2 linked regions of the Mus musculus genome follow. The protein of the gene in region 2 purifies or fractionates together with the protein of the main gene of each other region. This does not show direct contact. Links are inferred from orthologs where the notes say so. Each region holds a gene or a part of one and is shown on either strand. Other genes may lie near its edges. The genes, in order: Prpf19 and Knstrn.

Region 1 (4,435 bases), on a different chromosome or scaffold from region 2:
GAGGCCACAAAGCAACGTCCTATCTCAAGGCAATAAGAGGGCCTGCAGAGAGTTGAGAGAGTCCAGGAATTAAGAGCACTTGCTGTTCTTCCAGAGGTCCCAGGTTTGATTCCCCAGGCCCACATGGTGGTTCACAACTGTTTATAACTACAGTTCCAAGGGATCATACACCCTCTCCCACCTCCAAGCACCAGGCACATAAGTAATGCACGGTCATACGTGTAAGCCAAAGACCCAGACACGGTCATACGTGTAAGCCAAAGACCCAGACACGGTCATACATGTAAGCCAAAGACCCAGACACAGAAGAGAGAGGGGAGGGGAGGGGAGAGGAGGGAGGAGGGAGGCCCCATCTTTTCAATCCCCAGGTCCTAGCCCAGAGGTGCATTCTTTTCACAGAACTCACCCACTCATCCTGCAAGGCTTTCAGAATGGCTGGGATGCTGGTGGCGGAGGGAGGCTTGGGTCGGATTGGGTGAGCAACTGCCAAGAGAGGCAGCAAAGTAGGTATGAAGAACTAGAACCCAGGGAACTCTCCCCCACCACCCCCACCCCCAGCCACCATCTTCTCCACCAGATTGGCTCCACCCCCCACCGGTGAAGGCTGAGCTGAGCTGGCCTTGGACTTGAGGCTACTGGGCAGGCACCTTTGATGTCGATGAGCTGCTCCTCTGAGAGAGGCTGGTTGTTGATAGGATCTGTGCCATTCTCTGCAATGTACTTCTCAATGAGTCGCCGCTCATACACATGATTAGAGACAGGGGACACGCACGGGTGCTCTGGCACTTCATTGGAGACTATAGAGAAAGACAGGTAGTGAGAGTGAGCACAGGAGAAAAGGAGACGTGGGCAGAGGAGATTCTTCATTGTGTCAGCCCCAACAAGACCATGTCCTCCTAGTCAGCTATCAGGAAGCAAGGTCTGTGACAGCAAGCCTGCCCGTACTTGGTCCTACAATGCTCGCCAACTACTTAGCTAAATTCTCTGGTCTGCTGATAATAAAAGTCAATAAATAATAACTGCCCAGATCCTATGTGCCAGTACTGTACAGAGTGGTCAGTAAGTCCTGCCCATCTCATTTTTGAACCGAGATGGACAGAGAAGCACACAGAGCACAACTCAAACCTGTCATCCAGTGGGAGCCCTAGACAGATCAACAGGAGAAATTCCGAAGCAACGTGACAAGTACTGATAAAATGAAAACAAGCAAACAAAGAGCTCTGCTACTACATGCCAAGCAAGATTCTATTCTAAGCGCTTGACAGAATAGTCTGTGTACCCTTGAAGATGGCCGTTACAGCTGTCACTGACCTCCAGGACAATGCAGATACTAAGCTGACACTTGATAAACATCATAACAGGGTAAATGAGTGCAAAAGTCCCGGGGCCCAGAAAAGAATATTCCAAAGTACGAAGCCTTGAGCATGCTTAACTACCAAAATAAAAAATAAAGAAATGAAGGCCCCAAAAGCAGGCTTAAAACCAAGGTCTCTCTGACCTTCTCAGACTTGTTTCTCTACCTTCCCCTAAACAGGGTCAACTGGTTCACTTTAGCAGACAAGTGGAAGCTACCTCCACATCAGACTCTTCTGAAAGCTGCTCTAAGATAGCGACTTGTCACATCACAAAACAGCTCTTATTCACCACACAATTCTATTCAGCCTCCCATAGGTTGTGAGTCACCATCCTAAGGTTCAAGCTCCTATTCTTCTCCGTGGCTTCTCTTAGAATCACCTATTTTTGCAGGACTCCCATGCATGTGTTATTAAGTATGGATTTGTGCCATATTTAAAACCCGTATCTTGTACACGGCCTTCCTGTCCTATTCTGTTGGTTTATCACACTACTCGACGACTAAAGCTTTCTGGGAGCTTTCCCTCTTCTACCAGAGGAAGGATAGCCCTGGGCACGTAAGAGTGTGGTCTCAAAGATGGAAAGAAAACAAATCGTTTGTAAATACTTTGCAAACTGCAATTTCTCTAGTATGAGATTTCCTTTTCTGCTTGTCATTTCCCTCCTCCTTTTCCTTCTTTGAACTAATGGCAACGTTCTGAGAGGGAAATAGAGAAGGCGAGGAATCTAGTAACGTGGTAAACAATATGGGAGAACACCCGCAATGCCGTAATACAACACCCCAAGACAGGACAGCATAGTGCACGGGAAAACCATGGATCCAGGCTCAAAGAGCCAAGCTCCACTGCTTAGCTTCCTCGCACACCCCTAGGTAAACCCATTCTTCAAGACTTCCGACACCCTCTGTAACTCACGGATCTTTATTTCCCTTCAGACAATTCTTGTAAGCATAAAATGAGATCACCGTTTGGAAATGCATCGTAAATCAATACAGGTTTTCTAAACATTCGCTGTTTTCATTAGTCATACTGCGCGAGGCTAGAAGCCAGACACCTGGCTTCCAGCCCTGTCTCGAAGTCACTGCGTGATCTCTGCAAATCGGAAAGTCCGATTCCTAAGCGAGGTTTCCCAAGCAATGCCCACTGCAATGCTTTCAATTTTGCAGATGGGGAAACTGAGGCCCAAACCCGCTAGAGCCCAGATCACAATTGGAGGCGGATCCTGGGCATGTCCTCGGGTTTTTTGACACCAAGAGCTGTTTTTCACTGCACCAGCTCCTCCCCCCCACTTCTGCTCAGGCCTGTCTCAGCTCTGTAAAACGACGCCGGTTTCAAAAGACCCCTGAGACAGTCATTCTTCCCAGCTACGTGAATTGCGCAGCCCTGCGCAAATGCACCCTGCACGCAGGGCCGGGAGCTCCAGGGCCCGAGCCACAGGGGCCACACACGCTCCCGCCTCCCGCCGCAGCCAGCACTCACTCGAGCAGATCAGGGACATGGCGCCGTCGTAGCGCTGCTGCCAGTCGCCTCACAGAGGGTTCCCGGTTCTCTGCAGCCTCCGCGGGCCACTTCCGGTCCCCCGCCGCTTCCGGAGCGCTCGGACGCGGGTAGACAGCTGCCCAGCGTGGCGATGCTCGCACAACTGCTTCACGTGGGGAGGTGGCCGGTGGCGCGCCTCAGCCTTCTGCAGCTAACGGAAACTGCCCTTTCCCAGCATGCAACCGAGCAGGAAAAGGCCCGCCTCGAAACACTCGGCTGTTTCCGCATTGGCTCGGCTTCTTCCGGCGAGCGCTCCAAGAGGCCTGAGGCGGGAAGGAGAGAAGAAACTACATTTCCCATGAGGCTGCGGGGACCGCCAAGGCTCTTTTTTTTTTTTTTTTTTTTAGATGGAGCTGCTGTCACCTAGGGAACACTAGTCTTTGAAATGGTCGTGTGCAAGACAGATTTTTCAGGAGCTTGTAAAAGTGCAGATTCCTAGAGTCTGCCTTAGAGAGTCTGTAGGCATGATTCGGAGACCTGTGTTCCTTGGCCGGCTTTTGAGAAACAATGTGACCCTGTAAATAAAGCACAAATGAGTAAAGAAACTAACACTGCCTAAATTCTTGCTCTGGAAATATGGGCAAGCCAATGACTTCGTTGCCTGCTACGTTTTAAATATAGTCTGTTTTGTAAACTCAAGGGAATTTAGTTCCCAGCGTCTTATGTGTACGTTTAAAAGAATGGAAATTTGATGGGTGTGTTTGCAGAAGTCTTTAAACACAGGCACTGGGCTTCAGAGGCAGGCAGATCTCGGAGTACAAGTCCAACCTGGTTATATAGTGAGCTCCAATCCAGGGCAGTCAGAGCTGTGTAGAGAGAACATGTCTCAATAAGCAACCAAACAGTAAGAGTGGAAAGTTAGCACGACTATGGTGTTTTTCTGTGGTTTTGTTTTTGTTTTTTTGAGACTGGGTTTGTGTGTGTGTGTGTGTGTGTGTGTGTGTGTGTGTGTGTGTAGCCCTGGCTGTCCTGGAACTCAGTCTGCAGATAAGGCTGGCCTCAAACTCAAAGATCTTCCTGTCTCTGCCTTTTGAGTGCTGAAATCAAAGGTGTGTGTCATTACTATCTAGCTTAACTGTGGAATGTAGAGGTGGGATCTTTAGAATAAGACATTACAAGAATCCTGGTGGAGTTCATATAGGGAAAGAAAGAGTGAACAGGCACAAATGAACCAGTTGACTTCCATGGCAATGTGACACCAGCAAGGAAGAGGCCCTAGACATTGCCCACGTCATTCTCTTTGAACCTTGTGCTTCTAGAAATTTGAGCAAGGAGAACCCTCTTTTCTTTAAAGTAGCCTACCTCAGGTGTTTTGTTATAATAACAGTTCCCTGCCTCCTGCCAACTTCTTTTGTTTTCTCTACTAAAGACCGGACCAGATCGGCTACCAAGCCTGATACCCGAGTTCAGTCCCCAAGACACCCCCCCCACACACACACACACACAAGCACACACAGTAAAATAAATAAATAGGCTAGGCCTGGTGGCACATTGAGAGTAAGTAAATAAACTAAAATGGTATCAGTCATAATGGAGTTCTATGG
Region 2 (3,809 bases):
CCTGTGGCTGATTCCTGAAGTCTGGACATATACCTAGCCACCGGAACATGAAGATGTCTCAAAGTGGTTGTGAGGACATTTTGGTGAAAGTGGGTAACACTTAAGAGGAAACAGCTAGAAGCTGTCTGGGGAGAAAGGATTTGGGAGCCTTGAGGGGCAGTTCCAGCTGGACTTTTCCTTCTGCCTCCATTGTCACGTAACTGTAGCCTGTCAAGCTTGGGGTCTCATCAGGCACTCGGAGCGATGAATTTTGTGTGTTGGTGCATGCCTTGTTGCGAGATATTTGCTCACATTGTGACCCCTGAGAGTGTGACCTGGAAAAACCTGTTTCTTGTGGTGTGGCTCAGCCCTAGCACACACATTTAACCCAAGAGCTTTCTGTAAAGAAGAGTTAAGTGAAGTCAGTGACAGGGGAAGAAGCAAAGCAGCCACCAGTTGACAGGGAGTGAAGTTAAGAAAAGGCAGGGAAGAGAGAGGAGGGTCTGCGAGTCAAGGGGATTGAAGACCGTGTGGAGAAGGAGAAGGCGCTTTTCCCTCTGGGTCACCAGCTGGGCGCTTTCTCTGCCTCTCTGAGCTAGCAGGCTTTCACCACAGCGACTGGCTCCTGAGTCCCCATAGGTAAATCAAACATTGGTGATTTTGTTTCATAAACAATACACCTACAAACCCCAGCATTTGGAGGCAGAGTCAAGAACTGTCTCTCCATTTTTTGAAGCAAGTCGGTGTAGAGACTTTCTTTGGAAACAACCTCTATTCCTATCTTAGATTGGACAGTATGAAAATGAGGGCTTATGGTAGCTCAGAGTGGGGCTCTGTGTGGCACAGCAAGAAGGCTGGTGGGTCGTGCTGTGGCTTCACTCCTATTTTCCCTTTCAGATACACAAACTCGAGCTACTTCTAAACTACCTGTTAAATCCAAAGAAGCGGATTTGCTTAGACATCTTCATCCAGGAGGGCCAGAGCCTGATGTTACAAAAGTCACCAAATCGAGACGAGAGAATGGGTGAGAGTAGATCGCTGGCATCTGGTTATAGCAGCTTGCCAGAGAGCCCGAGAGCTTGCCCTGTGTGTTCAAGGGCCTGGGTGGACTGTCCAGCAGACAGGTGGAGGGACAGGGAGAGATACTGATTTTTCTAGAAATTGCTGAGCACCAGAAATGTTTTAATAGAGACTGAAGAGATGGTTTAGCAGTTCTGACTTGGAGAGGACCCTGGTTCTGTTCCTAGCACCTGCATGGTAATTGAAATCCATCTCTAACCTAGCTCCAAGAGATCCAGTGTCCTCTTCTGACCTCTTTTGGGTCCAGGCACACACACATTTGATGTGAGATATATATGTGTGTGTGTATATATATATCACACATAGGAAAAACACCCATCCACATAAAATAATCTGATCAAACAGTCATAGCCTAAAAGGTGAGGCCGACTGTAAGCCTTATTCATAGGCCTGAGCCTGAGCGGGGTCCAGCCTCAGGACCTAGCATGTACATGTGACTCTAGGCAGTGACCCTCTTCCAGGTGAATGTGGTTGACATGAGATAGTCATAATATCCAAAGCAAGCTCAGGTCTGTCGGTTGTTGGGGTGAAACCAGCACGCATGCTCAGCTCTCAGCCTTCGCTAGTTACTGGGGTGTACTCTTTGGTTTTTTTCCTCAGAAACTCAACTATCTTAAGTTAGGTGTGATAGCATGCACCTGCACTCCCAGAACTGAAGAGGCTGAGGCAGGAGGATTGGAATTTCCAACCCTGTCCCAAAACAGCAAAGAAGCCAAGCCCTTATTTGCACCTTATTTGTAGCACCAACTACTGTGGTTCTCTGATGAGCTTTGATTCTGCTTCCATAGGCAGGTGAAAGCGGCAGAGACTGCCAGCAGGAGGAACCTCAGAAACAGGTGAGCATGGGGTCGATTGAGGGTGGAGGCTCACAATTGTGGGTGTAGATGACAGTCACATTAGGCTTGTGTGATGTGTCTAAGTCTGGGTACCATACCCTGTACCTGAGAGGACTTTCGGGATTAAGACTGCACCACCATCAGGGGAAGGATCAGTGGTACCATCATCTTGAGCAGTAGTCTTAGCAGGAAGCCCAAAAGCTCTTTTTAAGACATGATTTTTGAAATGTTTACGTGTGTGTGTGTGTGTGTGTGTGTGTGTGTGTGTGTGTAAGTGCAGGTGCCTGGAGGGAATCAGACCTCCACTGAAGCTGGAATCAGAGGCAGTTATGAGCTGCCTGATGTGAGTGCTAGGAACTGAACTGGGGTCCTCTAGAAAAGCAGTGCGTGCTCTTAACCACTGAGCCATCTCAGCAGCCCCCATAACCGGAAAAGGCTTCTTTGTAGAGGTGTTGGGTTATGCCTGTAATAGAAGTCCTTAGGAGACTGAGGCAGGATTCGCACAAGTTCAGGGCCATCCTAGGTCAACCAGGGATGTAGGATGTGCTGGCTATGGCTAGTCTTACATCACTACAAGCCAGAGTCACTGGAGAAGAGGGACCCTCAACTCGGAAAATGCCTCCATAAGATTAGGCTATAGACAAGCCTGTAAGGGATTTTCTTAGTTAAAGATTAATGAGGGAGGGCCCAGCCCTTTGTGGGTGAGACCATCCCAGGACTGGTAGTCATGGGTTCTATAAGAAAGCAGGCAGAGCAAGCTATGTGTAGAAAGTCAGTAAGCAGCGTCCTTCCATGGCCTCTTCATCAGCTCCTGCCTGCAGATTCCTGTCCCGAGTGAGTTCCTGTCCTGACTTCCTTCAATGTTGAACAGTGTCTTAGGGTTTCATTGCTGTGAAGAGACACCATGACAAAGGCAACTCTTATAGGGACATCATTTAATTGGGGCTGGCTTACAGGTTCAGAGGCCTAGTCTATTTATCATCAAGGTGGGAGCTTGGCAGTGTCTAGGCAAGCATGGCACTGGAGGAGCTGAAGGCAAACAGAAGACTGGCTTCCAGGCAGCCAGGCAGGTCTCAAAGCCCACTCCTACAGTGACACACTTCCTCTAATAAGGACACAGTTCCTAATAGTGCCATTCCCTGGACCAAGCATATTTAAACCACCTTCCACTCCCTGGCCCCCCATAGGCTTGTTTTTCTGGAAACTGCCATATGAGAGGGTGTTTTTGCTGAGAACAGACACATGGTGCTTTTCTGGAAGCTGCCTGGGAAAAAGGCATGGGATGTTTTGCTAGAACAGATGCTTGAGAGAACACGTGATGTTTGGGAAGGGTATAAAGATAACCCAACAGACAGTTGGCTGATGCTGAGTGGTATTGGTTCGCCTTGCCACTCTCTGCTGATCGTAGAGAAAAATGTACCAAAGAACTTCTGGTGGTGTTCCAGAGGGTTCTTGCTTCTGGGGACTCATGGGCCAGTTCTCAGAGCCTTGCAGGTTTTTTTTCTGGATCAAACTGCCACTGCTGGTTCATGAGTGGTGTTTGCAAGTGAGTTGAGCGACTGCTGCTGATTCATATAAACTGAGCTGCTGATATCCTGACAACCAAGATTGGATTCATCCAAAGAACTCTTTCTAAACAGGTCCACATCCTCCTTTGCCCTGTTAACCTTTCCTTTCCATTAGCTCTGTTGAGTGGTGGGCCAGAAAGGAGGTTAAAGTATTTAAGCACACTTTTAAAGTAGGTTTTAACAAATATAAGCCGACAGCCGTCAACTGCAACTGAGGCCACACCTTCACCAATGGCCCTCTCTGGCCTCTCACAGTGCCAAGCCTCAGCTGCTCTCCATGACCCCTTCATGCCTTCAAAACCAGTACCATTAGCGTGATTCTTATACATTGCCGCGTCTAGCTGCA

Evidence for each region.
Region 1: the proteins of Knstrn (region 2) and Prpf19 purify together in Homo sapiens (affinity purification with mass spectrometry; 4 studies listed by BioGRID and IntAct, counting the BioPlex papers as one, with this or other methods). This does not show direct contact. The link is inferred for Mus musculus from reciprocal best matches to the Homo sapiens genes KNSTRN and PRPF19.

What each region holds. Positions count from the first base shown.
Region 1 is NC_000085.6:10,893,865-10,898,299, reverse strand, and holds the start of Prpf19 (pre-mRNA-processing factor 19), read right to left. Parts: upstream 3,070-4,435; 5' UTR 2,851-3,069; coding exon 2,832-2,850; intron 798-2,831; coding exon 648-797; intron 484-647; coding exon 407-483; intron 1-406. UniProt on the Homo sapiens protein: Ubiquitin-protein ligase which is a core component of several complexes mainly involved pre-mRNA splicing and DNA repair. Required for pre-mRNA splicing as component of the spliceosome.
Region 2 is NC_000068.7:118,816,988-118,820,796, forward strand, and holds part of Knstrn (small kinetochore-associated protein), read left to right. Parts: intron 1-876; coding exon 877-1,003; intron 1,004-1,847; coding exon 1,848-1,895; intron 1,896-3,809. UniProt on the Homo sapiens protein: Essential component of the mitotic spindle required for faithful chromosome segregation and progression into anaphase.